2 linked regions of the Oreochromis niloticus genome follow. The main gene of each other region encodes a partner of the protein of the gene in region 2 in a complex. Links are inferred from orthologs where the notes say so. Each region holds a gene or a part of one and is shown on either strand. Other genes may lie near its edges.

Region 1 (17,150 bases), on a different chromosome or scaffold from region 2:
ACTGTTTCCAGATGTTTTACTTTGGATTTTTTACACTGTATCCACTAAATCCAAGTACAAAAGGACTTCTGATCGCCTCGGTTATTTTCTCTATTGTGCTGAACTGAAAGTGAAGAACTGTTATTAAGATGAGGCGGTCATTCGATGATGACAGTAAATGCAAGTTTGGCTTCTGGGTAACTGAGATGGTTTATTGCTTTTTATTTCAAGAAACAATGACACGTCAAATACTCCAGAAATGGACCTAGATGGATTTACATACACTATATTGCCAAAAGTATTCGCTCATCTGCTTTCACAAGCATATGAACTTGAGTAACATCCCATTCTTAATCCATGGGGTTTAACATATTGGCCCACCCTTTGCACCTATAACAGCAGAGTGCATGACTAGGTACTTGATTTTATTCACCTGCTGCCATGGAAGTGATCAGAACACCTGAATTCAATGATATGGATTTGGGAGTGAACACTTTTGTGTACAATCTAACATTCACTTCCACCTCCACTTGGAGAGGGGTCCGGGTTTTCACTTCTCCCTCTGGCTCCCCCTTTTTATTTTTTACTCAACTCTTTGTCATGTTTCATGAGAGTAACTGATTACAACATTGAATTCCTTCCTCTTGAGCTTGCTGTTCCCCTTTTAGAACGATATTTATCTGATGTTCAATAGCTGGATTTCTTTCTTTCTTTCTTTTTTTTTTAAGCTAGAATTCTGTTGCAGGAAGGGAGCTGACTTAAAGTCTGGGTTGCGCAAAAGAAGACGCCACACACAACACGCTCTGTTTAGACCCAGACCAAACAATAGTGTTTGACTGATGGCCCTTAATATAAAGACTTCGGACTTTACGTTTCCCAATTTTTGCTTCAAGTTATTTTGTTATTTACATAATAATGTAAATAACCTAATAATTATCCTTATTGCAGTTTTAGAGGAGCGGTGTTTCAAAGGATAGTTGCAGATTTCTGTCAGAATCTGCAGATTATACAGTACAAATAAAATGTTCACGTTGTGTTCCCAACAGTTTCACTAACATCTACACTGGATGGCCAGGAAGCGTTCGCGATGTCCTCTCGGGCGCTTCTCCGGCGCTGATAATTGGTGTCTGTTTTGTGTCAGTGACGTAAAAAACGGATTTAATGCGACATGACCGTTCAAACAGCAGTCGCTTTCTAAAACATCGGCTATGTATCGGATTCAGTACCTCATACGAAAGTGACCCAGATCGGATTTGAAAATATCAGATTTGTGTCGTTCACACTGTCATACCATGATCGGATATGGGTCGCATAGGGTCAAAAAAATCGGATTTGATGCGCTTTCGCCTGCAGTGTGAACGTAGCCTTAGTTACCAAGGTAACAGATGCTCTGGCGGGGTTTTTCACTGAGCCCTGAGTTTCTCTCTGACTCTTCCCCTCTTGCTGAGGCAGCTCTGATTTAATTTCCTTTAATATCAAAGCATGCAACAGAGCGCATCGATGTTCATGTTGAACTTCCAGTTAAATATACATTTTTTAGCCTTTAATGTGACCGATTTGTGATTAAATAGTAATGGATGTAGAGCGCACCTTTATAATTGTATCATTAGTTATTATTAATCTCTGGTTTTCTTCAGTGTGTCATTCCCAACTGAAAGCAGCAGATGCCTGGTTCTGCTGGAGGTTTCCTTCTGTTAAAAGGGAGTTTTTCTTTCGCCCTGTTGGTCATTGGTGGGAAGTCTTGTTGTTTTTTTCTCTGTATTATTGTAGGGTCTTTACCTTACAATATAAAGCACACTGAGGTCACTGTTGTTGTGATTTGGCGCTATATAAATGAAACTGAATTGAATTGAAATACTGTATTAAAATGGAGAATCCTGGTATCAGAGCTCCACTGATGATGTCACATTTTTTCATAACCTGCAAACAAACTTAACACGAGGTTAATGTATTCAGAGTTTATCATATAAGGAGTTTAGCTCTAAACTCAACATTATTCCTGCTTTTTGAAACAGACGGCAGCCTGTAATCAGACTCAACCCAACACTTACAGAAATTTCAGCAAGTCAGTCAAACTGTAACTCTCCTGTTATCCCAACTATACCTTGCATTTAGCCGTAGTGGCCCCAGCACAGCTCCAAGAGCACACATGGGAAGCCCAGTCTGAGCAGCTTCAAACCATTTCACAGCGACTTCACCTGAACGGAAGACACAGAAAAGGACACAAACATGCAAATTAAAGATTAAATTAGGAGAAAGAAAAGGAGAAGTTGTCAGCCAACAGTTTTTTTTAAGTGTATTAAAAATAACTTCTGTGTAAACCCTATTTCTCTTCTCAGAGTTTTTGGCAGGTTTATTCTGATATAGAATCGGTCAAATAGGAGATGCCTGCAAAACTGAAAGCTCAGGTCAACACTTCATATCAAATGGACTTAAAATGTAGGTTTAGAGATTTGTAGGTTTGCAGAGACAACTGGATGAGAAAACTTGGGAGAGAAACAATGAAGTTCAAATCTCAAATCCAGTTTTGCTGTAAAACTGGAAACATTTGTTCAGACACGCACAGAATAACTCTCACTGACATATAATTAGGTATGCACTATATAAAAACAATGCATGGCTTGGCTGTGAAGTTTCTATAAATGAACTTTTACTTTGCAGATGAAAGTAAATGTCAGAAAATAGCATTTTCAGATTACACAGAACTCGACTCACCCAGCATGTTAGTGGGCATGCCCAGTAAGGTGTGCAGTAAGTCGTGGACCTCTCTGTATCTTTGCATGACATAAGCTAGCTCCTCGTTGTCCACAAACTTCACGTCTGCTCTTGAGTCAGGAGTCACATCCTGAGGGAAAAATTCAAAAACGGAAGAAGGAAGGAAGCATGTTTATATCAAACAATAAGTGTTTACAAATGCACAAAAAAACATGTACATATGCACATCACATCAGCAAATACTCACATTGTCCTCCAGAAATCTGAGGTATTCCCTCCCAAAGGAGCCGTCAGGCAGCGAAGCCATCTTTGTCAGATCGAGCGTAGACAGCCGGATCCTCGGCCTTTCTCTGCAAGATCAAATCAAATAATAATAAAGCGCAACACTAATTCCAAAAAAGCTGGGATGCTGTGTAAAATATAAATAAAAACACAATGCAATGCAAGCTTAACCATATAGAAAAGCTGAGACCAGCTGCTGGACTTTTGGATTCCAGCTGCTCAGCAGTCCTGGGTCTTCTTTGTCATATTTTCACTTTAGCATCGTCTTGCTTTCAGGCCTTCCCTGAAAAAGATATCATCTGGATGGGAGCATATGTTGCTCTAAAATCTCTATATACCTTTCAGTTGCCTGATGTTACCTTTCCAGATGTGCACTGTTGCACTCCCATACCATTAGAGAGAGATGCAGGCACCGATAACAAATTGAATAGTCACTCTCCTCTTTAGTCTTGCAGCGTCCATGTTTTCGCTCCAAAAATTCTAAATTTGGATTTTTTCTGACTACAGAACTGTTTTTGTCTTTGCCTCAATCCACTTTAAATGGATAGATTAGAGAGGACAGCAGGGTTCCTGGTTCAGATCTACATCTGGGCTCTTCTTTGCACAATAGAGCTTTAACCTGGATTTGTGGATGGCATGGTGAACTGTGTTCAAAATGATTTCTGGAAGTGTTGCAGCGCCGCCTGACAGTCCAAAGATAACAGACATCTAGTACCAATTTTGGCCTTGCCTATGCGCACAGAGATTTCTCCAGATTCTCCGACTAAACTGTTGATGATGAGCAACTCAAAGTCTTCACAATTTTACACTGAGGAACATTAACTCTGAAACTGTTCAATGACTTGTAGATGCAGTTTTCTGCAGACTGGTGAACCTCTGACAATCTTTACTTCTGAGGAATGCTGCCTCTCAAAGATGCTCTTTTTATTCCCAGTCATGTTCCTGCCATCAAATTACAAAAATGATACATTTTCTCTGTTTAAACATTTAATTTGTTTTCTATGTTCTATTGTGAATAAACTACAGGTTTATCAGATTTGCACATCACTGTATTCTGTTTTTTTTAACATTTTAAACAGCATCCTTCGAAGATCCAAATTCATTCACATTTTTTTTAAATGTGCCTGAAGCAGAAAGCACTCTGACGTTCTGCCACACTGACTCACGTTAGGACAGCGTAGCCTTCAGGGTCATTTCTCATCCTGTCCCTGAGCTTTATGAGCGCTAGGTGTCCCGTTGTCTCCCCGAGGACTGCAACCATGTCTGTAAAGTACCCAGAGTTTCATGAAATCCAAGGGCACCGAGTGCAACATCATGACAGTACAGTGAAATGTTGACGATATTTTTATTTACAGTAAAGAAACCATGTGTTTATTCTAAACAGGTCACTACTGTTTACTCATCATGGAAACAATACTCAGAAACTTCACAAACTTTTAATCAGTCTGCTTTAAAGACGGAGCTGGGAAAGACCTCTGTGCCTGTGAAAAATGCATTTTAAAAAAAATCCATTTATTTATCAATTTATTTTTGGACATGAATCGATACTAAGCAGTGAATGTCATGAGAAACCTCACTAAATGTCAGCTGACAGGTGTTAAGACTCTGTTCCTTCATTTAGGTTTCAGGGTAACTAATATGTGGCTGTAATTTGTATTTAGTCTCATTTTTGTTTCCAAGACATTTTAAGTCACGTACTAAAGGTCTCCAGAGAATAAGCCCTTGAGAATGAATACAAAACGCTTAATCAGTACATGGGAAAAGAATCTAATCAGTGGTATCATTTCTGAAAAATGGAAAACAATCCCAATCTGGAGCCACATCAAGGTCACAGACTTGTTCACATCCCTATCAGTTGGATACTGGCTGAGATCAGTTTTACCAAGAAGCCAAAAATACACTTTGCTTTTTTTTATTCTTACATATTTTTGTGCTATTTTGTTCTTTCTTTGGAGACCAAGAAGACATTATGTACAGTGAAAACACTGCCTCAAAAAAATACATGTAAATTAAGGTTAGGCTCCGATCACTGTGATTCAGACACGAAGGCAAAAAAGTTCAAATGTAAATGTTGGCACTAAATTTTATACCGTTAACTCCAACGCCACTCAGTCCAAAAACAGCTGTGCTTTAAGGTTTATCCGTGACCTTGTAAACAGCACTTTGATTAAATATCCTCATCTTAACCGATTTATAGTCTAACACACAGAAAGAAAACCAGTGCACGCAGAAATGCTTATATGAGCGTCTCACCATGTCTGTAGGGGTTCTGCAGTGCCGCCACACCTGACCCAATGGACAAGAGAGCTTTTTGAACGGCGGTGGTGGGAATATGTCCAGGGTACAGTCCATCGTAGTGGATGTTTGTAAACTCAGTGCTGCTGCTGTGCAGCTGCTGAACGCAAACTACTAAGGAAAAGATGGAGTGGCATTAAACACTGGACTATTCTATACAGACTATTGCTGTTATAACAAAAAATAACTGAACAGATTATTGATAGTGGAGTGTCTAAATACCAAAACCTTTATGGCAGGATAAACCATTCAGAGCATTTATTTGTAGTAACAGACTGCACTGCACATCAAAGTTATTAGAGTTAACTAAAACTAGATGACAGGGGAAAAAAGAAAAAAAGTTTTAATTAAGTAAAATGAAAATAAAAACTAGACTTTTGAAACAGATTAAAACTAAATGAAATGACTTTTTTGAACCTGGAAAACTGACTAAAATTACATTAAAAAATACAGAGGAAATATCCTCAGTTACTATCTGTTAGTATGGTAAATATTTTATAATAGCTTGGCTGATGAGGCATTGATGGATATGTGTATTGAGACTTTAGATGTCTTGAACAATGTGAATCAACTGCTTTCAAAAGATGTTTTTTTTTTTACTTAATTTTTATTAACACTTAAACAATTAGTCATTCGTTGTTATATTACAGTTGTCACATTTACAGTTATGGTGGCAGAATATAGCATTCACATAATTACTTTTTTATAATAACAATAATAATACTACTAATAATAATAATGATGATATGATGATGCTTAAATGTAAATAAATCTAAAAATGAAAAAGATAAATAGATAGATGGAGCAAAGGAAAAAAACACAACCATAATTAAATTAATATTTCCCACTATGTGTTTCTCTCCCTTCATTGTTCAAATAATGTAAAAATAAGTCTCCGTCTCCTCATAAACAAGTCTTTGTTCCATTTCTAATGTTCCATTAGATAGAGTTCCCAAATTCTAACTCCAACCACATATGATATGATGGAGGGTTGTGTTTCAGCCATCAGATGAGTTTTTATTGTAATACCTGCACTGATTTTCCTAAATCTTTCCTCTAATGTATGGCCTCAATGGAACAAAGATTATAGGGACTAAAAGTAACACTGAAACCAGTAAAATTAAGTATTTTCAAGCAATAAAACCTACCTGAACTCAAAGTGAAAAACTGATTAAAGTAAGTGATAAAATCAAAAACTAAAACACAAAACAATAATGACAACAATGTTGGCTCCTTCTGAAGAAGGAAGCCACAGTCCTGTCTTGTGTATGTGTTTTGGCAGAAACGTGTGCTTAATTTACGTCACATTTTGTGTCCGTACATCTGATCTGCATGAGCTCCATGAGAATAGATGGCACCAGAAACACATGGGACACAAAGATGGAGAACACTTTCATTTATATGAATTATAAATCACTGACATTCAGCACCGTTTGATGACGTGTCAAAAGATCATTCCAATGTAGGGTGAGTTACTTTCAGGTATATGTGTTGTTCGCCTGCTACAACGCCTGCTTTTTTCTAAAGAGTGATTCAGTAAACAATGATTAACATTTCCCTGATGTTAAGCTAACAGTTGCTTAACATACTGCTAAGTAACGCGTAGCCCTGTGCCTGGTGCATGCTGACAGCGAGGCTCCCACACTACTTCTTCACCAACTTACCACCAGGTTTATTTTTAAGAACACTAAGCTGTAACACAGAGGACACCTGCTTAAACTCGTACCTTTAGAAACTGTAAAGCAGTGTCGCCGCCGGTTGATCCATCGGAAGGGTATCAGCAGCCACATTCTTTTGCGGTAGTACGCATGCGTGAGTGTAGCACTTTTTTTGTGTTTCGGAGCAGCCCAAACTACGTTGAGAGGGGTGCCTTTGGGCTTCCATATAAAAACCCAGCCGTTACTGCGCCCTCGCTAGCAGCAGCTTAAAACCAAGTGCGCTTAGTGACACACCCGTAAATTATGATAAAGGGCGAGTTCTCCTTCTCTTAGTTGAGTTGCGTTTTCCCCTCGTTGAGAAACACAGGCCAGACGCCAAGGTTAGTCAGTTTGCATGCTGTGAATCCCTTCCTATAACTCACTAGCAGTTAGCTATCTGAGTAGTTGAATGTACAAGTCCTAACACCAAACACACTTTAATTTTAGCTGTTTGAAGTTTCGCAGGTGCTCATTAAAATAATTAAAGTGTATTTTACGTGCCAAAGTCTACGGTTGCTTTAAAAAAAAGCACTAGCCCAAACTCTAAAATAATACTTAAAATGATTACAGGAGCTAATCCAGTAAAATAGATGCAAAACAGCCCACATTACAGTGGCTAAGCTCTCTGGAAGCTCTCTGCTACTCTCTGCTGTTTTTATATAGCTTCCAGTGCTTACGTGGTTAAGGGTGTAGCTAAGTTACGAGGTGAAATACTGTGTCAGTGGTGGTGACGACTGTAAGATCCGCTGACAGTCTTTGCGAACTCGGTGAGTAAACATTCAGGTTTTGGCTTTTGTATGAGAAAGGGTCTGAGGCACCCTGCATTTTCACACTGAACTTGCAGTAAGTTCATCGTGAACACGCAGGGCAATAACATGGCGAGCTCAGAGGACGAGTCTCCCCAGGAAGAGGATGTTTTTTAGGCTTTGAGCAACGCTGGGTGTAGCTTTAAAGAGCAGCTGTGGTTATTTGTCTGAGACAGAAGTTGAAATGTTGAGACTGAAATTTTGTACTCTTTTTTTGTTGCTTTATTTCGTTGTTGCTGGTTGTGTTGTTCGTTTCACAGAAAAGTTTGTGCTGCTGTACATGACAAAGGTCACTTTGCAAGGTTTAGCTGTACGTAGGCCTCGTGTGTGTTACCTTTATATAACTTCACTTCTTTTTTCTGTTATTTCAATGCACAGTGTTTCATTGTCTATTTCTCTGACAAAGATGACTAGTTTCCACGCGATCCAGTGATTGCTCTGAATGGATGTTGTAATTACAACCTTTGACAGAAGTTTCTATGGACACATCTAAACACGAGCTTACATGCCTTTTCGCTCACAGCAGGTTTCCTTATCCTTTCAGTTAAGTTTTGTAAGAATGAAGTTAGGCTTGAACTTCTTACGCAATACCAGTAACAGACAAGTTACTCATGGTTTAATGTGAAAGGGGTGAGTGGCAGAAATGAATTGCTTTCAAATAAATACACATAGGAGGAAAGAGCTTCCAAAGAAAAGCAGCATTTCCTGCCTTAATATGAAATTATTAACAGTGTATTCAAATCATATATTTGTATGTGTTCTAATTCAGGGTGAGATAAGTAAAACTCTAAAAATAAACGTTTAGGAATCTAGATTTATGCCAAAGAATTTCATTTTGTTAGAAATTTCTAAGATTTAAGTAACAGTTTAGAGGTTAAATCTGTGTGAAGCACAGTTCAAATAAAAATGAAATGAAATGTTCCACTCTAAAAGCTGGATCTTTAGACAGTAAGCTCACCTTGGCTGTAGTGTGATTCATCTAACTGAATGAAGTAAAAAATCATAAAAGTTTCTAACTTAAATTCTTGTAGACGAGTTTGTAGGAAGGACACAAAGCTTCTTAATTTTTTTTGAGCTATGTGTACTTGGATTTACTTATATTATGTTTATTTATTTATTTATTGAGTGATGTATTGGAGTTGGATTGTTAACTATTTCCAGTTTCACTGTTAATACTCCCACCGAAATTAAAACAGGGGCTTTCCTCGCATATATCTTTTGATTCAACATCCACTTTCTGTGTGGTCTTACTTCCCCCCATGAAAGTTAGTCGCTTTGTTTGAAAAGGATCTAAATTGGTCTAAGGAAAAATCCACTGAAAACATGATTCAGATATGTTCTGCTTGGAGACCATGTCAGCAGAAAGTTCATTGAAAACTCGTGACCATCAGGACTTGTGCTGTTTTGTAGACACAATTTGGAATTTACCACTTTATTTCTTTGTGGGGGAAAAGCTGAGCTGTTTTGTTGGAATTGCATACATCATTCACATTTAGTTAAACATTAACATTTACTTTATGGGTGTTGTTCTGTTCAATTTAAGACCTGCTTTGACATAAGAACATAAATGGTTGAATGGTGAGACAGCACTGTTAAGCCGGGTGCCTTTTGCACACAGTTTTACCAGACTGACAACATAATGTGTTACCTTAACCCTACAAACACCACAACCTTAAACAACCATATTTTCAAGTTGTGACATGCAAAGGTGCACTTTGTCCACATTCTTTGCAGTTTTCTTTGACATGCAGGCATGTATTATATATAATTTATACACCTGTAAAACCCACTTACACATGCAGTGGGTGTGTGGAAATATATCAGTAAGAGTTGTCATCTGCTGGTTATGGGAAAAACAAACACTAAACATTCCCCACACATTTTTTTCATAAGGGAATTTTTTATATATACATATATATAAATTGCATAATACCAACAGAATAAACATTTACAAAAATCTGTGACAGAAGGGATATTTGCAAGGACAAAAGAAGCCCTGGTGCTGTTCTTTATGCAGTGGGTGAAATAACTGGCACTACATGCTATACTTTTAGTCTGAGGTAGACAATTGTAGGAACCGTGACGTGAACTGTGCCAGATGATTACTGGCAGTGATAAGTGATTAGGAAGCAGACAGTGCATAATAGTCTGGTGTCTATGAACCAGGTGGGGTGAGTTTTCTGCCAGTTGGGCATTTTCTTTATTCACTTTTTTCTTCACATATTTCAGTCTGAAATGATTTCCTACCATAAAGTACTTTACTGGGAGAATGATTTTAAACAGTTAGAATTAGTGAGGGAAGATATTGTTTAAGTGTAAATGTAAAAAATATGTTTACCATCTTCTGATTGCCAGAGTAAAACTCTTGATAATTTCTAAGACATACTGAACACAGTTAAAGGAGGTAATTTAACCAAAGACCATGAGAGTTTCCTAAATTTGGTGCCTTAACTTAACCAGGTATAAAATAATATAACTTGTAGAATATATATTCAAAAAGGGGCTTTAAGTTAATGGATTTAAAAATTGAATTCATGTAAAGCCCAGATATTGAGTACATTTAGAGTACATTTCCTATTTGGAAAGAAATTGTTGCTGGACATTATATTTTAAAATGCAAAGATATTACATGTTGAACATCAGAATTTAGTTTTGTTTTAAAGTTGAGCTGATTGTGAATTTGATGCCAGCAACATGGTTTGAAAAAGTCAAGACACAAATTGTGTAATCTGGTGAAGCATCAAACATCTGATTGGGGTAATTGGAAAACAGGCAGCAGTGTAATTGGGTCTTAGTCTTTTAGAAGTAAAGATGCAGAGGAACTGAGAACTCTGAGAGAGACTCCTTGGGAAAATTTAAGCATAACTTCAAAAGAATTTGTGAATTTCATTATCTGCTTTTAAAAAATGAAAACAGTCCAGGGGAGCTCAGGAAATTGCTGCACGGTCTCAGAAATACTTGCAGAAACAAATGATGAATCCAGTTTGTTGTTGCTGCTGTCACAAATTGCAAATTATGCATAATTACTTTATTTTTTAGAAAGTTTAACATAGAAACAAGATACAGAAACATCAAAGTGGAAAACTGCCCAGTTCAGAAATGGATAGATGGATTTATGGATGGAGCCTCCTGTAGGTTAAAAGACAAAAACGGTACCATCTAGCTTATACGTGTAGTCGTTTGTATTAGTGATCGTGGCTTGAGTGATGTGCACACCAGCGAAGTCACCATTAATGCTGAATGACATGTAGATTTTGGAGTGACACATGCTGCTATCCAAACAGCTTTTTCTCCACACAAGTTGAGCCACATTCTGCAAAGAGCAGTGGGATGCAACACATAACAAACATTTTCTGCATCGTAAAACCAAAATAATAAGTGCGTGAGAAAACGACTCAGTGATTCTTTTCGATCCCTGAATGCTTATAAATTAATAAGAAGTAATGTAAACCTTTGCTCTTCCCTTTGTACATGTTGGAGACATCAATTCATTTAAAATCTCAATTTCAGTATTTGATATATTTTCTTTGTGCCATTTTCATCAATATACAGATGAACTGATTTGCAAATTTTTTTACATTTTATACAGCATCCTAGCATTTTAACAAAGGGGTCGTATAAATATTATAACTACACACCACTCTGTATGCATTAAACTTTAAAGAACATACAGGATGATATGAGCACAAACCTGGTTAATGGTAAATTTGACTTAAGTAGCTAATGTTAAAACGATTTTAAAAATGGTCTGTCTTTCTCGTCCTTTAATTTACGCCACTGTGTATCACTGCGCAAACCTTCAGTACCCGCTATTACTTAGTTAAACTTCCTCAAGTTGAGCACATGGTGGAGCTGTGGCCAGCACCCCTATAAGTATCATTCCTGTAAGAAACCGTGACTTAAGTGATCTTTTAGTGTTAACACTTTAAAGCGAGCTTGAAACTGAAACAAAGGTAACAGAAACTATTTGTGGAGGGTGAGAAATGTTGACAACATTGCAGGAAAAGTATTTAAAGGAAAGACTCAAAATACACATGGGAAGAAAAGCTATGCTGTCTTTTGCCTGGCATCATCATTTTTTCTGTGAAGTACTAAAGATAACAGCAAAGCTCGTGTAAATGCTGCGTTTGCATTTCACACCGTATTTACTCAAGCATCAGAAAGTGAGAACTATTTTGCTGGTATTTCTCAGTAGAAAGATGCTTATCTGATTATTATCTGGAAATGCTGTACAACAAAAACAAGTTCTACATTTCAAAGTTACTCAGCTATTTGTAAGCTGGACATACAAAGAAAATTTGCAGGGGATTTTTTTTTTCAAACTGGTTTAGATACGTGTTTAAATAGATTAGGTTGTATATCCTGATGCTGCTTCTCCCACAGTTATGTTTATCCCACCATTCACAAGACTTTTTCTGGTAACTCAAAAAGAAAAAGTACCTATGTCTTCAGGTCATTTGACTTGCTGATCTTGTCGCAGCCGTTGCAGTATTAAGCAGGGTTTTCCATATTTTTGAATATTATTACCATGCTTTTCTTTTTTTGTGTGGCATTGCTGGCTGTGCCAAGACTTACACAGTAGCATGGACAAATATTTCCTCGAGGGTCATACAGATTCTCATGGTGATCTTTTAAATAGTTAAGCTTGCCAGTAGATAATTCGCTGCTAGTTTGAGTTTCTGGGTAGTTTAGATTCCATCTGTGCAGTTAGTTCCTGTTTAGTTAGTTGACAGCTGTTTCTCTGTGTTCTCATTAACAGGATATAGCAGCAGATTGATGGAGAAGAATGGCCCGTATTTCTTTGGACTGTCCCAACTCTTTACCAGGGATTCCCCTCAGTGTCCTGTCAGTGCCCATGGAAAATAAATATAAATGTCAGCAATGTCTCCAGGTCCTCAGGAAACCTGTCCAGGCTCAGTGCGGCCACCGCTTCTGTGTACACTGCTTCAAGCAGCTCACCAGGTAGACTGGAGGTCCTTAGACCAAACTGCTTACCCCGCACCTAATGTTTCCTATCTTACTGGAGATGCTTCAGCACATCCTTTCCTCATCTTTCCTCAACTCTGGGAGTTTTGTCCAGACAAGATCAGTTATTAATGCAGACTCATGCCCCACATGATGGACCTGTAATACTGATGTCTGTGAATCACAAGGATGTGGTGTTGCTGATTCATTCTAAAGGTCTTCTTTCTAAAACTTCCTTTCTGAGTCATGCACACACTGGTGAATTGTTAATGCATGAGGTGTATTTGTAATGAATACCCAATACAGTGTTTTCAGTGCCTTATGTATTCAAATTCATTACAGAGTAATCGTAATGAATATTAACGAAAAATAATACATGAGGAAAAACACTGGATTTGTAATGAATATTCACTACAAGTACAAAGAGGTGACACACCAACGTATTTGTAACGAGTATTTGTGATGTGTATTCGTTACAGATACATACATGGATACATTAATTAATTTCTAGTTGATGTCCATTTCTGTTATGTGTTATCTAATGTTTCATGAAAGTATAATTAAACAAAATGTGACAGAAAATGTGGAATTTTACCATTTAATTTTTTTTAAAACCGCCAGACTCTTTGTTAATTCCCCAAACATTTACACAACAGTACCACAAGTGCTTGTGAAATGTGTGGATTTCGCATGTGATTTGTCTGAGTGCTTTTATTTGTTTCAAAATAACCAGATCATGTACGTTATAAATTCACCATGTGATGTGACACGGACACACGTGCTCTTTGTTTATGCTTGTGTGTGTGTGTTTTGGTTATTTGTTTAATCGCCTTCAAACTTGCTAAAGCAATTTTTTTTTTATTCTTTTTTTTTCTTCTTGTCCCACTGATATGATGCTTACAAGCTTCTTTTCATTGCCCTTGCATTGATTAAATGTTCATCTGCTCGAGGTGTAATCCACACTGGTCAGCAGTTGCTCCAGTTTTGGATCAGCAGGAAATTGTTGCTGACTGTTGGCGTCGAGCAGCTGCTTTTACAGTAAAGTCACAAACCTGTCTTGTTTGGTAGTTCTGGCCCAAAGCCATGTGAAGCCTGCCGTCAAGAGGAGATATACGAGGAACCCATTTCCATTCTAAACAGCAGTGAGGTAAGCCTTTATATTTATTCAGGTTAGGTTTCAAACCCACCATCTTTGTTATGCTAGGAGTAGTCAGCATGCAATGTGTTACTGCCCTTTAGAGGAAAAAATATGACTGCAATCTGGCGGGGGTTTCCCTAACCACACAATGCATCCTACTCTTGTCTGCTTTCTTTTAAGACTGAGGGAACATTGAAGGCTTTATGAGTTCACTGATCTCTTTGTTTTTGCCCTTCCCCCCACCCCCCACCTCACAGGCTTTCCCAGACAATGCAGCAGGCCGAGAAATAGCAAGCCTGCCAGCCAGGTGTTTGAACCAGGGCTGTAACTGGACTGGATCTATTAAAGAGTATGAGGTAAAGTATGAAATCTGTCTTCTCCTGTGGCATGGGCATTGCTGCCTTTTACCTGGGTGTAGGTTTACGCTACCAAAAAAGAGCCTTGTCAGTATTTATTAATCTACGTGAGAGGTTAATCTGACCTATAATCTGCGTTCCCGGGTCACTGTGTTCCCTGAAAAAACCTCAGCTTTCACAGCACGTTCTGTACGCTATGGGCTGCGTCGCTGCAAACAGGAAGTGAAACTTAACAGGCAGCTGGAAAGTCCCAGCCTCTCCTCATTTATCAACAAAAGCTCAGTGGAAAGTACCAGAATGGAACAACCCTGTTGAGCTTAGCGTGACTGGGTTACTGACCATTAACCATAGAGCTGTTAAGGAAACTGCTTGTATTCATTCAGTTTAGCAGAAACCCAGATTTCATTGAACACAGACTGCAGTTTGTAAAACTCTATGAAAGACACGTGAAGTAAATAAAGCTGGTTAGTGTGTGTGTGCGACTGAGCCTTGTGTGTGTGTGTGTCTGTCTGCAGCTGTGTTTCTACTCTAAGCATCAGTTTTAGATGAGCTACTTAGTTTGTGTAGTAAGCAGATGGCACCATGATGCTAACGCTGTGAAAAGGATGTTTACAACAATTCTTGTCTGTTTGTGGTTTTAACTAAGCGTACCAGTGTGACCTAATCTACATCAATTTTGTGAGTGTGCGTGTGTGCATGTATGTGCGCGCGCGCGTGTGTGTTTTTCACCTGGGAAATGTTAAGATGATGATGTTTAAATGAAACCACTAGGCTAATGTGTGGGATTTGCATGGATTGGAAATGGGATCCCAAGCAATAGCATGCAGATGAATCTTCCTCTTATTAAAAAAAAAAAAAAAGAAGGCACCAAAAGATCAAAACCTGCCAACCTCTTATTGTTGCTTCACAAACTATTATTATGCTGTGTGATACACCCACTTCGCAAATACTTTTGGTCTGGTATCTTAGTCACTGTCACTGTGTGGAAAAAGCTACAAATTGCTAGCCGCACACACCCATAGCGAGGCCTTCTGAAGCTGGGAAAAAAATAGTCACATCAAGGCGTTGGAGTGTTGTGGCGAGGTCAGGGATGAGATTAGGAATCTTCTAAATGTGAGTCATGTTTATTGACGCGATCCGGTTCAAGATTTTTGAGCGTAGCAAGTCTGGAAAGTCAGCAGTCAAAGCGAAAAACAGGCTAACATACCTGAGCTTCTGCTTCTGGGTCTGCAGCGTGCCTTTGGTAGTCATTCTGAAAGACGGCAACTTCCCTGTCGATTAACCCCACCTTAAGCTCCACCCCGCCTGTGTGATTCCCGGTATTTTTAAATGGCGAATACACAGCTTTAAATATATTTCTTTAATTATTCTACTTCCACTTTTTTATTTTTGTACTTCTCTTCATTATAATTCTATTTCTATGGTACATTTTCATCCTTTTTTTTTCTATCAGATGTTTGTGGAGCTCGCTTTTTGTTTAAATTTCGTTTGCGTAGCATGTCATTCGAAAGTAAGAAAAGTGCATATTTTAATGGGGGTTGCAATGAAAAACAACTAAATATCAAAATAATCTTGATCATAATCGTGTGCACAATCATAGAACTGTATTTATCTCTTTCATACTCAGATCAGTGTATTGTGTTTTTACTTTCACTTTTTTTGTCAGTTGGAGGTGTATTTTTTTTTTTTTTAAAGAATAAAACAAAACAAAAAACCACCTGTTTTTCCACATAGAAGCTAAGGATACACCCTGTACCCACAGCACTACACCTTCATTTAAACACTTCCTGAAAAGCAGTTATTTATCAGTGATTGGGAAGGGTTTGGCCCAACTGTCAGTTTGCTCTTTCACGATGCTGAAAACCTGCTTTACACATAACAAACAGGAAGTTCGATAATAATAACGAATAAAAAATGTCTAATATTTTTAGGCTCAGCACGAAGGTCGCTGTGAATTCGAGCGGATACTGTGCGAGGGCTGCCAAACCCTTATCCTTCTCACGGAGAAGGACAGACACGATGAGAGAGAATGCGAGGCAAGAACTCTCAACTGCAAATACTGCAAGATGACCTTCAACTTCAAAGAGATAAAGGTGGGACATAGAGAGACTACACTAAAATACGCTGTTCTTTGTTTTTCTTCTTCTTTGTTGGCATTAATGGACACAAAGTGACGTTCTGCTTTACGATGCATTTCAGGCCCATGATGAGATCTGTCTGAAGTTTCCCATGCAATGCAAGGACTGTGGAAAAAAGAAGATACCAAGAGAAAAGGTTAGCACTGTTACCTTCAATGTAATCTAAGTGGTTTTAGGTCAGTACTCCCCAAAGTCTCCTTATAAGTTTCTTTTTGACTAGGAGTCCTTCACTTCCACTTTCCTGTTGATGCACTGTTTATAAATGGTCTTTTCTCTTTGTTCGTTCTGCCTTTCAGTTCAATGATCATGTGAAGTCTTGCGCCAAGTCAAAGAGCACGTGTCCATTCAGTGAAGTGGGCTGCAAGTCTATGGTAGGTGCAGTTACATAATCACCTCTCAGTGTGATCAAACTCATTTTTGTCATTGCGTTGTAGTAGTTTGGTGCTTATTTGTGGTTTAAAAAGGAGTCTAAATGTAAGTACCTTACAGTAAGGTAGTAATGTGGCTTATACTTTTGCTGTTGTAAGTAAATTATGAAGTTGGAATCAGATGAAGGAGCTGGCCTGGCTAAAGTCACAGCATCACTGTTTGGTGTTTTTACTGTTTTGTTTTCCATCAACATAAGATATAATGAGTGCCTGCTTTGTGCCTGATGTATGCAGTGAATCTGAGTAGAGCGTATGATGTAGCCTACGTAAGCAGCACATGCTGTTTCCAGTATTTATACCTGTGCAGGCTGTGTAGTTATGTGTAGTTATACTGATTATAGGGTTTCAGAA
Region 2 (16,560 bases):
ATTTGTTCTATTATGAACTCATGCACTGGTAACCTGCAGTTTGCACTCTGTAAATCAGTAAGTACAAACATAACAGTCTTCCGGAAAGCCATATAGGACAGCAACTCTTGGGATGGCAAAGCAATGTGAGCCACATCCTGTGGCTAACTGGAAATTCTAGTAAAATGACAGGTTTCATAAACGCAGGCTTCTCACCACACCCTTTATTAACTGGATTGTTTCCCTGAATTCTTTAGCCTATCGTCCACAATGTGTGAAAACTGGAAAACTGTTATGGCTCTATCTGAAGTCTCTGGTGGATCTTCTTTCTCAAATGCATCACCTTTCCTGGGTAATTCTCAAAGTGAACACACCCCTTTTATATAAACTAGCCTCTGTGTCTGAGCTTGCCCTTGAGGTAAATCTAAAATCTAATTTGTTAAAGGGTGTACTTTTGACTCCTGGGTTTGTTTATGTGCCTTCTTGAAATAGTCTTGTGTCGGGTAGCAAATGAATGTGTCTCCATTGGCTTCTTATCATAAACAGTGGTTATTATGTGACTGATTCACTCATAAATCCCTGGTTTGATGATGACTGCCTGAACATGCATATATTTTCGATTTTCCGACGGTGAAAAACACATTTAAATATTTTCTCTTATCCCTTCAGTGTATAAAAAAAAATCACAGAAGGAATACTGCCAGACAGACAAGGGCCATTTAACTTGTACCAGACGACGCTAAATACACTCTCTAGTGTCCATGAAAACAGGCGGTTTAGAGTGTGATTTAGGTCTGCATGGTGCACAAGATAGTTTTTCAAGTGTAAACAATTCAATAATAGAAGAGAAATCACTTTCCTCTGGTTGTAATTTTGTATATCTATAAAAAGGATTAGAAGGGATTTTAGGAGACTTGGTGAATTTGAATCAGAAAATGAATCTCTTTTTGTTTTATGAGACATCTTGCCTTTTCCAGAGGAATACCACCAAACCCTAAAAGGGTTGGCTTTTTAAAACAAAGTTGCATAACTTTAATTTATTTCTCAACCTACTTTTGCAACAATCTGGGATGACTAAGTGTTGTTTTCAGGGAGAATACCGTACTTTTAAAGAATTTACAATGCTAAGGACAGACCAGACTATATTTGTGACCATTAACAACTCTTCTCGAAGATCATAAATAAAACCAATGTGACATGCACAACAGTAGGCGTTAAAACCACAACTCTAAAGGCCATCTAAGGGCAGTGATTTTGCACTTTGCACTTTGACCTTTCACCTTGGTTTTTAAGGAGGTGTTGTAGAAGACTACACCTTACCTTGCAGGCTGCTTTGGAATCAACATCAACAGCTCATGTCTTGTCTTTTATGTGGACTTTGTTACACACTCAATACAATTAACAATGAAAAAAACTGACACACAATACAGTGTGTGTGAGTGAACACAATAAAAAAAGATCAAGACAAAAGCAATAAGACCAACATAAATGGTAAATGGCCTGTATTTGTATAGCGCTTTACTAGTCCCTAAGGACCCCTAAGCGCTTTACACATCCAGTCATCCACCCATTCACACACACATTCACACACTGGTGATGGCAAGCTACGTTGTAGCCACAGCCACCCTGGGGCGCACTGACAGAGGCACACTGACATAGCACCACTTACAACAATTTTGAGTTACTCTATCTATCTATCTATCTATCTATCTATCTATCTATCTATCTATCTATGAGTGGGATTACTACATTAAAAGGAAAGAAGAAAATGGAAAGTATGTAATAAATTTGTAGTAAATAAATCTAAAATATATGCAAAATATGCAAAAGCTTTTTACATGCGAAATGAAAATATCATTAAAAAAAAAACCCATCGCAAATTGTGATTTTATATTAGATTATGAAAATTCAGAATATATAATATTGAGGAAATTTGCCCAATATGTTAAGAAAAGCCACTACAGGGCTTCTAGTGTTAGGATTTTCTTTTTAAATGTCCAGTTTTAAAAAGCCTACAGCATGATCTTCTTGTACAAGTATTAGTTCCGCTCTGCATTATGCATAGAAATGAACAACTTACCTTAAACTGTATGTGCTTTCTTTCAATTTCACGTCACTGGGACTGTGTTTATTGCATTTTCATCTATTTTGATGAAACTGTTCTGTTTGAGTAGGAGGAGAAATGATGCTTTACAAACAATGTTATGCAATACGCATAACTGATGTGGAGAAGTGGAGCATTGTGTATATGCTTCTACACCACATAATGAATCCTGCATCACTGTCTAGAAACTATATTTGGACTTTCTATTTTGCATTTTCATCTATCATATTTTAAACATCCATTGCTCAGTAAGTATGAAAGACAGTGAGATTAGAGCGTTATTCACATTTTACGGTTTTAACGCCATTACCGCAAGACAAATACAGACTGTAGTGCGTGGAAGAAGGCCTCAGATGATTTCTAAATTAAAAGCTGCATGAAAGCAGTGTGTTTATTTTGAATGATATGTAGTCCTTTGTGTAGTCAGCAGATATTCAAACTTTCCAGTGATTTTTTTTTAGTGACATAAGAGTTATGCCCGTAAATAACAATGTATAACCCTGTATTACATCAGCTATGTTATGTCACTCTTGATTTCTTGGAAATTCACTTGTGTTTGTGACAGGGGATTTCTAAAAATCACCCCGCAGTTCTTCAGCTAAGACACCTGAGTTAGAAAACACAAACACTGCAGTTTTCTTTACTCGCGAGGACGGTCACAGAGCGCTCGTATTCGCAGGAGACACTCACGGACTCGCGCTCTGTCACCGTCTGCTTTCTTTATTTATACAACAGGAATTAATACATTCGTTCAGTGACATGAGCATGTGCATATGTGATTGTGTGTGTATGTGTGTGTGTGTGTGTGTGTGTGCAAGGTCAGAACTGCTTGTTCAACTTCTTACTATCGCTGTGGAAAGATTCAGATACAAATATCAGAACACGTTTCATAAAGAACAATCAGTTCTAAGCAACAAAAAGATCATCATGCAGCATTCTATCACAAGTAAACTTATGTCATTAAAAGCTTATACTGACTACTAAGTACAATTTTCCATTGACAGTTTGTATCTGTGTAATGCCAGGCTGGGCAACCAGACAAGGCATGTAGATGCAACCACCAACCTGGAAAGTTCAAACACTGGAGTTCAACTTTCTAAAGAATAAAACGGTCACAAGAAGAATTACACTGACAGTCTGCAACCGTCACTGACATACAGTACCGTTCCTCTTCTCTATCTTCTCTTTTCCTCTTATCTGGTCATGGCAGATGGCTGTATCTCCCTGACCGTGGTTCTGCAGGTGGTCTCTTGCTGTTGAAAGGCAGTTCTTCTTCTTAAGTAAGTCATAATTGTCCGATCTTTGGTGTTCTTGCTCTAATACATTAAGCACATTACCTTACACTATAAACCACCTTAAGTTACATGTTGTTTTGAACAAAAAGTAAATCTAATGAGTAAAACTGAATTAAAAGAATTAATTGATTTTAGTAAACTAATCCACACAGATCAGATACTTAGGAACATGAACTTTACAGATTACTGGATTTATCCAAAAGTACAAATGTTTTGAAATAATTCAATATGGTTTTTTTTCCAGTTTTGAGTGGAGGTAAATCACACAAATCTAAAAAAGCTACGCTTGGCTGCTCCCTTGTCACAAGAGATAACCACAACAGGTACATCAGATACCCCCAAAGGAGTTTGTGTCTCCAGCTGGAATCAAACCAGCAACCATTTATTTGTCAAACAGTTTTTAATCTGTATCTGCCTTATTTTGATTTGATATACGATGGAACCCCTTGACACATATCACATCAAATTAAGCAGCATCTTTTACAGTACACAATATCTGCCCCAACAGATAAACTTGCTCTTTAATTTAGGTGACAATTAAGGTTAGGGTTAGGTTAAGTTAATTAATGAATTCCATCTATCCATCCATCTGTCCATTTTCTTATAGTTGCCCAGTTATGGGTCACAGGGTGTCTAGCTGTGATAGGATATCACACTGGGAGCACACTAAAGCACACTAAATTGGTCATTGAGAATTGGGCAGAAGCTGTGCTTAAAATGGGCTACCAACCAGGAAAAAGCATAAGAAAGAAGGTTCAAGGTATTATACTACCTACTGAGGAGAAGGTTCATAAAGGAAAGGGAACAGTTAATGCTTAGGCTTCAGAATTTTCCTTAATTTGGCCCTTCTCTAAAAACCTTTGTCCAAATTCATCTTTTTTTAAAGGGGCATCATGTACAACATAACTTATGTAAACACAGACACTGACGCATTCTGCTGTCATATATTCTACATCTGAGTAAATAGCTAATTTGACTTTAAAGTCATGCGTACACACACACACATTTTGGGAGTCCCACCGCACGAGTGAGGGACCAAATGAGACAAGACCTATCATGTCTCCTCTTGCTGAGAGCAGACATTGTTGACTCACTGTAGTCTAGAGGCGCTTAGCCTGCGTCCAACCACAGTTATGCACCGTCTGACCAGAGCCTCAGAGCGAGGGTGTGCAGACTCACACACATCCTTGGATGCATGTACACACTACGCAAAGAGACACACATACATACAGGTGCACATAAAAGACAGTTTTACTCTTCTCCTGCTCTGTGGTTTGTTTTTCAGTCCCCTCATCGGTCACACCTGAGGATTTAAAACTTTCTATTGGTCTGTACTTTCTTTTGTGCAGCTGAAGTTTTGAACTGAAAGTTAATTAGTTCATGTATGCACTGTTATGTGAAACAAAATGTTTATGCCTTCATAATAATGTACATCTGTCAGACATTTGCTTAAAGATGATCTAAAAGCCACTTGATTTATCGTGTGATGCCTCCCACCTCTGTTACATTGCCCCAGGCAAACATTTGGCCTGGGTTTTCTAGCCCAGAAAACCAGAATACAAATATCACTTACATGCTGTAATAACAATGAAGTACAGTTTAGTTGATGTATATAGTTTTATGTATAACTTTGATTGAAACCAGTTTTATTAGGTGTGTGCAAGATGTCAGAAAAGTTAGACTACAATAATTATGGTCTTCATTGTCTGCAGCACTTTAGTACTACTCTCCACCAAAGAGCTGTTTAACAAGATGTAATAATAAGTATAATAAATTATAAGAAACAGTGTTCATAAAGGATCAGATCATTTTCATGATGTAAGAACAACGTGGCAATATGAAAAGAACCTCTTCTGTTTACCTCTCTGGCCCACAGCTATGCTGTTTTAGATTACTCTGATTGCTATGTGTAGTGTGTTGTTTTCAACTATAGCGGGCAGCTGTTTTAGTGCTGTGCATTTAGGAGCCTATAAGATAAATATAGCTTCAGAATTTGTAAGATACCAAAAAATAGAGCAAAAATGAGTTAAATGTCTGACTTGCATTGACCAGCAGGCAAGAGATGGTAACGTCTTGTTGCCATATTAATATACAACTTGTATTTTCCCTAAGAGGCCACAAAGAAAATAAACAAGCAAACTAAAACAATAGTCCATATGCAGATAGATGGTATCTACGTCCTTCTGTAGATTCAAAGAAGGTCTTTTTTGTCTTTTTTAGCTGAACTTGACCGTAGTTGACGGTGGAACTTATCAGCTGAGTGTAGCTTAGTTATTAATATGATATTGTGATATTAAAGGAAGCTAAATTTGGAGAGTGGCACAACAGTGCAGCACACCTTTACTTCACAGCTTGGGGCTGTGTGTTTGCATGTTCTCCCTGAGTTTGTGTGGGTTCACTTTGGGTACTCCTCCTTCCTCCTGCAGTCCAAAGACATGCATAGGGTTTAACTGGTGATTCTAAATTGGCGATATGTGTTAATGGGTATCACTTGGTGTTATCCCTGTGACAGACTGGCAACGTGTTCAGGGTGCCCCACCTCTCACGATATAGTAACTGGGGTAGCCTCCACTGCCCCCAAACCTTGAACTGGATAAGTGGGAGAAGGTGGATGGAAGAATTAGTTTGGGCTAACAGAAAACTATTTACTGGATAAACCCCAAAGCGCCATATACTGTCTTTTAACACAGCTGAATGCTGAACATGAGTAAATACCACCCACCTGATATAAAATGGATATATAAAATGATATAAAATGGCCACATAATTAAGCAGCAGTTTAAACCTCAATATAATTTAAACTCGTGAATTTCTATAAAAATTCACCCCTCCATAAAAGTCATAAAATTAAAAACGGTTTTATTTTCTTTACTTGGCTGTAACTTTGGGCATTTTAACATGGGTGTCTATGGTAGTTGACTTGGCTTTGGAGGCAGCTTCGAGAAGTCATTCCTAGCAGTTCTAAACCTGCTTTATTTATCAGCCCTCCCACATTATCGAGATAAAACAAGATATTAACTTGTATCCTTAGTAACCAACTCCAAAGGATCAGCACAAAATTATACTAATGCAGGACAGATTTAGGCTATAGTGTAAATTCACAAAGAAATATAGACAATTATATTTCAACTATTTAAAAAAAAGAAATGACAAAATCAACCCAGGACCTGTTTGGGTTTGTATTCCTGGGAAAGTTGCTCACTTTAATCTAGCCTCGCTCACACCTATGGCCGACACACCAGCAGAAAGGACAAAGGCAAACCACATTTACCGACGTGCAGCCACACATATGTAGCCACCCACAGTCAGACAGACAGATAGGGAAACACATAACCGGGCGTCTCACCACAAACACACACACAGACAAAACCGACACACCCCACCATTCACTATCCTGGCCTTGTTTACTCATGACCATCGCAGCTATGCAGCAGCCGACCTCATCATTCCACAGATTCCTCTGTCCCAACTATTTTATGTGCTTTGTCAAAGTAGTTCTTTTGTACTCATCAAAAGCAGGAAACATTTTACTAAATAAAAGTATGAAGTAATATCCTGAAAGGGAATAACATTGACAGGTGGTGGGTTAGGCCAAGACCAGCTATTATGATTTAAGGCGGTGACTTTCGCAATTTTATTTTTTTTTTATTTAAAATAAAATTTAAAAAAAAAAAAATGCTGGGAAGGCCTCACTGAAGTGCATATCAACAAGTTGAAACTGCCATGGAATCTGGGACCAGCTGGAGAGGACAGAGATTGCTTAAATGTCTTAATCTGTGCAACACTGCCATCTGTTGACTATCAACAACATCTCTAGTTGCTCCTGAAAACCCCTAATTTTTGTCGCTTGAATGTTTAGTCTTAAATTCTGTGTCACTTTCGGCTGCTCCCTTATATAACAAGCCTAAACAAAAGGCAAACTCGTGATTTGTTTGACGCAGAAAAAATGAGCATGTGCGACCAGAAGGTAATTTTCTCTTCTCTATTTACTTTTTTCTTTAAATACTTGTTTTCCTCCCACAGGGCAAAGATACGTAGGCCGAGTGAACTGGTTGAACTCTAAATTACGTGTTTAGTGTGGATTTGTTTGTGTTGTGATATAATCCTGCGACAGGCTAGTGACTAGTTGCCCAGGATGCTGACCCTGTGAACCTGCACAGCAATAAGCAGCTAGTGACTCAGTGGAGGATTATACAACAGATCACTTTGAGTCCTTCCTGGTCATACCGAAGCAACTTTCTTCTTGCACCAAAGAACTGCCTGCAGCTTTGTGCTGAATATTTTAGGTATAATGATTTTTAATAAAGTACTTCAAAGCTCAGTGTGTTTTCTTAATATGAGCTGGTATCTTTGTAAGCTATGCAATATTTTAATAAAAATATTCTAAACTGCTCATGCTGACTGCAAGCCTCACATTCAAAATCAACAAACCAAACCTTCAGACAAGGTAGCTTCATTGATGATCCACTGCTTCCAGACCTTTATTAAAGTCAAGAGAATTTCTGATTTCCAGTACTGACAAAAATAATTACAGAAAATTTTAATATAAATCAGTTCTCTTTAAGGTTCTCGCTATTGTTTTAATAAAATGATTGTTAAAAAGCATGCCATCCTGTGACGAACCTTTAAGGATATTTTGATCTGTGTGCAAACAAAGAGACATGTTTGGATATGCAAAAATACATGCACTATAATTTTGGACGGGGGCAGGAGGGAAAGAATTGTTTGGGAAGTGACTAAATAGTAAAAGAAATAGTGTTACATAAGGAAACACAGAGGTCTTTAGCTCATTTTGTAGTGGTTATTCTGACATGTTCTTCTCTCTGGTCTTTATTTGAAAGAAAATTAGGTTTTATTTCAGTTATAGAAACTATTTTTCAAAAGGAAATAAGGCAGATATAGATTATGATTGACAGATCAAAGGAAACCTTATTTTTAAGGTGTTCTTTGTTTCCAAAATTAAATGCATTGTAACAGTATTGCAGTGGATTGAACAAAATAAACTACACAGGGACATATTATTTTCAAACTGGCTACCTAAACAGCCCAGATACACTCTGTTAAACACACTAAACAATAGTGCAACTACATCTTATAGAACTATAGGTCAGGCTTATATGGGGAGTAAATCACAAGGGGATAAAGTACAACATGTAAAATCCTGAAATTAGCCATTCTGATGATGAAGTTTTCCTTCTTGAGGCATTAACTAGTATTTAGTACAGATAAACAGAAGTTTGAGTCTGGGCAGCACATGGTCGAGTGGTTAGCATTGTCACCACATAACATAAAGATCTTGAGTTTGAGTCCTCTGGTTAACTGGGGCCTTTCTGTGTGGAGTGGCTGTCCCTTTTCTGTCAGTTCTTCCAGAGAACTCCCTTCCTGTTACAAGGGAGTTTTTCCTTACCACTGTTGCCAAGTGCTTGCTCATAGGGGGTCATCAGATTGTTGAGGTTTCCTCTGTACTATTATAGGGTCTTTACCTTACAATATAAACTGTCTTGAGGTGGCAGTGTTACTGTGATTTGTCAATATATAAATAAAATTGAATTTAAATGAATTTTCCATGTTCTCCATGTGCCTGCATAGGTTTCCATCGGGTACTCCAGTTTTCTCTGGCAGTTCAAAGACATGCTCATTTAAGTGTTTTTCTGTCTCTATATATTTGCCCTGAGTTGGAGTGGCAATCAGCTAGGATAGGCTTAGATAGGCTGGGATGCAGGACTTTAACTTGTATTTTAAAACTGTTGTATTGCTACTTTCATTTACTGCATATTAGTATTCCATACTCTTTTAGTATAACATGCACAGCAAAAACAGCCTGAAACACCCAAGCTAGTTTCAATGCCATTTGGAAGAATTTTCAGAATTTTTATTTTTTAACCACAGCAGTCCTCTTTAGAGAGCAACAGTCATACGAAGGCTGAGGTGAGGGGACAACTCACAAGAATCACTACTCCTCAAAGATTATTGGACACATTGTAGTGAAACAATGTTATTTTATCCCGAACGTGGCTGTTCAGAAACCTCTTTTACTTCTCAGTTTATTTTACTAATTAGTTTGTGCAATACACCCAACCAATTATAGCAAAACCTATAAATTTATCTCTGTGCTTCATACATTAGAATAACCAGTAACTCGGTGGGTGGTGGTAACACATCCTAAACGCTAGTTGGCGCCCGCAATTAAATAAACGAAGAAGAAGAGCAGACGTCCGTTACGTGCAGTTACTGGCGTTCAATGTCAGTTTGATGCATGTTTTTTTTTTTACGTTTTTTTAATTACACATCTAGTTAAATCATTACCGGACTATCATGCAGACAGCCGCACTTAGAGTTTTTTGCCACTGGTCTCAGAGTAACAGCACAGCGATGATTCGTCAGTGTTTAAAATGCAGAGGTAAGCAGCGACACCTGGGAGCTACAGTGCTACATGCTAAAAACACTTATCTAACCCTCACAGTATGTAACGTCTATCAGTGCATACTAGTGTTACCCAGTGTTACACTAGACTGGGTCTACACTTGTAAACGTAATGTAGCCTAAATCAAATGTTTGATAGATTACTCGTCATTGTCAGTTTTCTCAACTCAAACTCTTGACATTTACTTAGTTTGTAAGTGAAGTAAATGCGTGACCTTCATAGTGGGCACTTAAGAGTCGTGTAATTATAAATGTTTCAGCTTCAAGGCGGTTGACTGAAGGAGCTTTACATACGTCTTTTACTTTGTTTTAGCACTAACTCTGCAGCAGAGCTCTCGCGCTTACGGTGTAATTCCGCCCCCGCGCGACAGTGAGGAGAAGGAGATGGTGCACCGGATGCTGCGCGTGGACCATGCTGGAGAATATGGAGCCAACCGCATCTACGCCGGCCAGATGGCAGTGTTGGGTAGATCGAAGACTGGGCCATTCATTCAGGTATTAACCAAATAAACTGATAATTTCATTACTTCTGTGTCACGTCAAGATTATCATTTATTAAAAAAAATAAAATAACAGGGGGGTTCAGCCCCCAGTTGTTGCTGTGGGTAAGTTTATTGAATTATTATAAATTTAAACATAACCTCAGCTTTTACAAGAATACTCAAATCTACTTTTAATTAAATGATTATGCACAGTATTCCTAGTGTCATGTTTGCCTCTTTGGACAAATGCGATCCAGTCGAACGTAACAATCCATTTAAATCTTCCTTCTTCTTCCTTCCTCTTAAATACAATATTTAAAATGAAGTAAGCCGAATGATGCAGTGAAAGATGCCCGTACTAGGGTTGATCCTCTCCATCAGCCTTTCACAGCAGCTGCAGCACCATCACGTAAAGCCAGTAAACCGTGCCCGTGATTTCTGCAGGATCTTGCAGACAGCAGTCAGATCTCACCGTTGTTTGATGTTAATTCTCAGGCACATGGTTGATAAATAGAATTTCTAGGGGTTTTCTGAGTCTCCCAACATTCTGAATCCAGTTCATTTCTCGTTTATTTAGTTAAAAAAAACTTTAATAAAACTTATTTAGCCCAGGCAGGGACATATAGACTCCCCTGCAAATTACATCCTGGTTCTACAACCTGAGAAGAATTGTCACATGATTACCAGTTAACCATATAAAAAGTCTAAATTCCCACTGACTGCCACAGATCTTTATCCTAACGAGGACATACACAAGATCTTTCCTTCACAGTCAGTTCTCTAGACATGGCATATAGAACTAGGAATGGTTAGAAATCAAGGCTAAACTAACAGAGGCCTTATTGCTCATCACTGAAAGAACTTATCTCATGTTAGCTGCTGCATTGGATAGCTGTTTCTGTGTGCAGATTGCGCTTTAGCCTCATGGTCCTGATTTATCGTTTAATATAAATGAAAGTGACATTCATATCTCCACACCTCAAAAGTTGTAGACAGCTGTACACTCCCCCCCCCCCCCCCCCCCCCCCCTTTTTTTTTTTTCATGGAATGCACTGCAAAAATGTCAGTGACAGAAGACTTTGAGTAAATCAAACATGTTCTTTGTTGTTACCAGGTTTAGGAAAAGCCTAAAGAAGTCTGTTAGCAGTGTTATAAAATTGTATATGCTTATAGAAAGATCAGACATAACAAGAAATCTAATGTATTTCTATCAACACAAACATATTACCTTTCTTGCATAACAACCAATCATGCGTACGTACTTGGTCCTCTCCATATAAATAAAGTTATAAAAATGTTAAAAGTGTTCGTATGTTTTCATCATGAGTATATGTCCATAAATGTTGACACTGTGCTTTTTTCCCCTACAGGAAATGTGGGATCAAGAAAAGAAACACCTTGAGAAATTCAATGAAATTCTTGCTGAGAACAGAGTTCGCCCCACAGCACTGTTACCTTTCTGGAATATTGCTGGGTTTGTATTAGGTCAGTACAGCACATAAAGACACAATTTTGCTGAGAAGATAAACAAATGCATCAAAGAGTAATGATTATTGAATTTCACAATGGCTCCCTGACGTGTCATTAACAAGTGTATAAACAGTAAGCAGTAGGAAATCTCTTCATTAAATGTTAACAGCATGCATCTCTCTCTTTTGAAGGGGCATCATCTGCATTACTGGGAAAAGAAGGGGCCATGGCCTGTACTGTGGCAGTGGAAGAGAGTATCACTGAACACTATAACAACCAGATAAGAACTCTGATGGAGAAGGACCCAGAGAGATACACTGAACTGTTACAAGTGAGTTTCTTATCTCTGTAGCTCTGCCCTGTGGTTGCCCTTTACTGTGCATGAAATTCATATTGTTCATTATGAGATTGTGGCAACAGCTGAGTCTAAAGAGGTGCCACATGCGATAATATTAGGCACCTGCCACTCCCAAAAAAAGGGATTAGAGTCTAGCATACCAAAATGGAAATAAATGTTGAATGTTTTTGATTATGGTGATTGTTACAAGCCACGCTAAATAATAATTAATCAGTTAAACTCAGTGTCAAGCTAGTTAATACAGCTTTGTGCCTATTCACTAATCGCCTGTTACTAACATTACTACATTTAAGTAAGAGTTATCTGACCAGCAAATAAATAAAGCCACGTTAATTTGTGTTTGACCAAACTTTGAGGAAAATTTAGTTCAATGATGTCTGTATCCCATTAATCCCAATATGAGTCTGAAATGGTCTTGTTCTTTTATAGTTAGCTTGTGCATATTTCTAATTGCATTTATTAAAAAATTACAACTGTATTTGTTGATTACGTCACTCATTTATTATTAAGTGTAATCCTAGCAGCTGGATCATTTTCTTTTTTTTTTCTTTTTTGCATGTAAGCCAGCCACAGTCAAACCTCTGGCACAGCCTCGTTCTCTTCCTGGATCACTGTTGACTTTCAGTGTTAAATCTATTTGTGGGTGGAATTTTTTCTGTGTATTTAAGCAGTTCAGTACAGTTCAGGTTTACTTGGAGAGTTTTACAGTTTTATAGGCAATTTCTCCAAGGCTATGCAGCATGATTTTTGACATTTTTGACTTCAGTGCTTTCGCCATTACACAATTACATCACTTAATGGCTACTGACATTTGTTACTGGGCACTGATGCAGGTCGAAGTTTATTTAACTTCTAATTTGGACAAGTTCCACACACCAATGCAGCTTCACAGATCATAGAACATGGAATAAAATTGGCATTTCACCAGTGGCTTTTTCATATATACTGTCAAGAGCTCAAGACTGACTCTCTGGATGTTTTCCAGATGGGGACAAAGCACTTTTCAGCACAAAGCAGATCTTATTAGATACACATTTTCTGATCGTGGTATATAAAACTTTTCATGACTGATTTATTTGCAGTTACTTTGAAAAGAAAATGGGTTTAATGTAACCAACTCAAGACCAAATAACTTGAGAATTTTGTGCAGTGAAATTTAATTAATTAATGTATTTAATTAATTTGTTTTATCATGCATATTTTTAACAGGTGATAAAGGAATTTAGAGATGATGAGATGGAACATCATGATACAGGACTGGAGCACAATGCTGAAAATGTAAGTGTATTTTATGTCTTTAAATATAATATATACACACTGCCAGTCAAAACTTTGGACACACTTTCTCATTCAATGTTTTTTTTTCTTTATTTTTATTACTTTCTACATTATAGATATATGCTGAAGACATCAAATATATGAAGCAAGATATATGGAATTATGTAGCAAAGAAAAAAATGATAAATAACTCTTGCATATCTTATTTTTTAGATTCCTTAAAATAGCCTTTGCTTTGTTGACAGCACTGATAAACTTTTATATCAATTAGAAAAATGACTTCACACAATAAATAAATATTGCTTCATTAGAGTATTTAGCTGTCTTTACAATTTTTAAGTTGTTGAAAGTACTGCTGCCTAAATGTGTGTTTTGTGTGTGTGTGTGTGTGTGTGTGTTTTTCCTCTTGTGTTTTAGGTACCTGGATACTGGCTATTAAAAAATGCAATACAGTTAGGTTGCAAAGCTGCAATATACGTTTCCCAACGTATCTAACGCTGTTCTTAAAGCAACTGAATTGTTTTGTTATTCTGACTCAATTTTGTAAATGACTTAATTTGGACTTGTGTTCTCACTCTGCATCTTTGTAAATGTAAATGAAGTACTTCAACACAATGTACCTGATCATATCTGTTAAAATAGAGACACTTGGTGTTACCTACTTTGGGTGTTGTTTACAGTACATACACAGGCTCTGGGAGGCAAACATTTCTATAATAAATGTCAGGTCTTGCTTCTGTTTTCTGAAGGCAAATTTTTACTTTTGTGTTGTGTTACTTTTGTGCTTGCTGCAGGAAGGTCAGTCTGCCTGTCTGAAAAGTGTCAGAGTGTTGATGAGAAAGTGAGAAACTGGTGAAATAAAGATACTCATGGACTTGAGATATTTCCATGTGTACATGTATCCAGTGACCCCCACATACATAACATATTTTTCATATAATTGTGCCTTAAGTTGCTTCAGTGTTTCTCGTATCGGCAAGAGCTGCAAAGACCAATATTTTAATAACTTTTAGCTGCCTTTGACCAAAAGCTAGACTCCCTAAACACACATGATAAGAACATATTAATCCAAGTACAGACACACACACACACACACACACACACACAACCACCACTACCACCACCATACCATTCAACTCCTGTTTCACATGTAATAGTTCATATATCAAGCTGAGCAATGACTTGTCATCCAGGCCTAACTGCTAAGCAGCCTCACACAGCTGTTCTGGGTACATTAGGTCACTGAGCAAGAAGGCTTGTCCAGGGGCCCCTAATATTCATCAGGTTGTGCAGCTTGAGCCAAATGTTCATTCCCCCCTGACTCAGTATCATTCTGTCCATATGTCCATTCAGTTGTGACCCAAACCTGATTTCTCCTAGTTTAGCATTTTCTGAGCATGAGCATATGATACATGCTGACTCATGGCCAGTAGTGGGGGTATTAATCATCTTGTTGGTTGAGCAGATAATAATGTTATTTAAAAAACTGAAAATCTGATATTTATTCATTGTATGTGAATTGATAAATATAAAAAAATAAAAACAACAGACAGAGTCATAGTAAAATGTTCAGTTTGATTGTGCCATCATAAGAGGTTCAGCCTGCACATGTTAGATTAGATATTGAAATATGCAGATTTCACTTTCAGCTGCTTTTTAATGGTGGGTGCCTGACTGCAGGTCAATCTTTACATTTGCTTCATGGGTTAAATAATGTTAAATAATTTGTAGTCTGCATTATCACTGTTAGGTGTTTGTGACTCACTAAATAAGCCTTACAGAAACTAAACCAGGGTGTATTCATGAATGCGCTACAGCAGTGTTTTTAACGGGGGGAGGGGAAAAAGTGTTTGTGTTATATTCCAGTGAAAACTGAATGCCAGTTTTTCTGACTACTGCTACTGGAACGCTGTCAACTCGGGTATGACGTCATTTCCAGCTCCAACGTCCGAGGTAAAAGGAAAGCACCAGTATAACTTTGTGCCTTTTTCTTTGACTCTTGGTAGTTATTTTAGTTTGGTAGTCTATGGGTGAGGGTCATATTTTGAAACCAGCCTCAAGTGGCTGCTTGAGGAACTGCAGCAAGACCTTTTAATGCATCACATTCGAGCCCTGGTTGGATGCGCTTTGTGAACCAAGCTAAGCACTTCATCCTCTCATACGAATACAGTTAAATCTGGCAAAGAATCACCAAAAAAAGCTAATTCGATGCTCCAGAAAAGAAAGGAATTGGCTCACAGTGGATGAATGCTCGCTACAGCCACTTTATACATAGGGTGAACTGTATTTATAACTAATTCTTTTTCCATTTTACCTGTACCTGCTTGCCTTTATTGACTGCATGTTATTTGATTTTCGTGACCAAGTAGTAATTACTGTGAGCAAAGCCTGGAGTATTCTCACGATCTCAGGATAAGATGGAAACGCATGACATTCACTTTCATAATCACAGGAGGTCACCCACTATAGATCAGAAACATGAGACAGTAGGCAGCTTTGCAAATCAAAGGTAGATCATCATACATTATCTTTGAACCCGATTAATAGTGCTGACAGTTTTATCGCAAGGTGTAACTGTTTAAATAAAGCAACATATGTAAAGCTCCTTTTATAGTGTAATGTTAGCTGATGAAATTACTGGTATATAAAAAGACGAGTGATGACTTAGTCACAGTTCTGGTGTTAATAACCTTTAACCTTATAGACTACATCTAAATTATCTACCATATGTAAACACAGATGGTGTGCTACATATATATATATATATATATATATATATATATATATATATATACATACATATAAGAGAGACAGAGAGAGATAACAATGTCTGCACATTCTGGTCAATTCTTCAATCATTTAAAACCATCAGGAGATCATGTGCATTGTTTAGGTTCTTTTCTCAGTATCAAAAGGAATTTGCTGAAACACAGACTCAGAAATTGGCAACAAGAATTTGAAGAGAGCAATAAAACTTTACTAAACTGGGATTGTCTTGCTACCATGAATAATTGCAGTTGTAAATCTTCAGCAGCACGAAAAATACAAATCCCTATAAGTCATAAAATCTTTCGGATACAGATTTTATTACTTCTTGGCTTTAATAGTTGGTGTTTGCCAGTAATAAGGCCTTTCTGGGGTTTATGGTAACTAATAGCAAAAAAATACTTC

What was found.
Region 1: coq7 (region 2) and coq4 share a complex: the UniProt entries of both Homo sapiens proteins name them as parts of the multi-subunit COQ enzyme complex. The link is inferred for Oreochromis niloticus from reciprocal best matches to the Homo sapiens genes COQ7 and COQ4.

The regions. Positions count from the first base shown.
Region 1 is NC_031972.2:20,608,194-20,625,343, reverse strand, and holds the start of coq4 (ubiquinone biosynthesis protein COQ4 homolog, mitochondrial), read right to left. Parts: upstream 7,129-17,150; 5' UTR 7,062-7,128; coding exon 6,998-7,061; intron 5,386-6,997; coding exon 5,230-5,385; intron 4,240-5,229; coding exon 4,143-4,239; intron 3,045-4,142; coding exon 2,942-3,044; intron 2,825-2,941; coding exon 2,695-2,824; intron 2,178-2,694; coding exon 2,084-2,177; intron 1-2,083. Other genes in the region: traf2b (TNF receptor-associated factor 2), read left to right, coding at 12,561-12,736, 13,808-13,886, 14,135-14,233, 16,165-16,326, 16,433-16,507, 16,668-16,742. UniProt on the Homo sapiens protein: Lyase that catalyzes the C1-decarboxylation of 4-hydroxy-3-methoxy-5-(all-trans-decaprenyl)benzoic acid into 2-methoxy-6-(all-trans-decaprenyl)phenol during ubiquinone biosynthesis.
Region 2 is NC_031971.2:33,875,570-33,892,129, reverse strand, and holds coq7 (NADPH-dependent 3-demethoxyubiquinone 3-hydroxylase, mitochondrial), read left to right. Parts: upstream 1-9,538; 5' UTR 9,539-9,693; coding exon 9,694-9,778; intron 9,779-10,114; coding exon 10,115-10,296; intron 10,297-11,653; coding exon 11,654-11,768; intron 11,769-11,944; coding exon 11,945-12,084; intron 12,085-13,320; coding exon 13,321-13,389; intron 13,390-13,806; coding exon 13,807-13,884; 3' UTR 13,885-15,385; downstream 15,386-16,560. UniProt on the Homo sapiens protein: Catalyzes the hydroxylation of the 5-methoxy-2-methyl-3-(all-trans-polyprenyl)benzoquinone at the C6 position and participates in the biosynthesis of ubiquinone.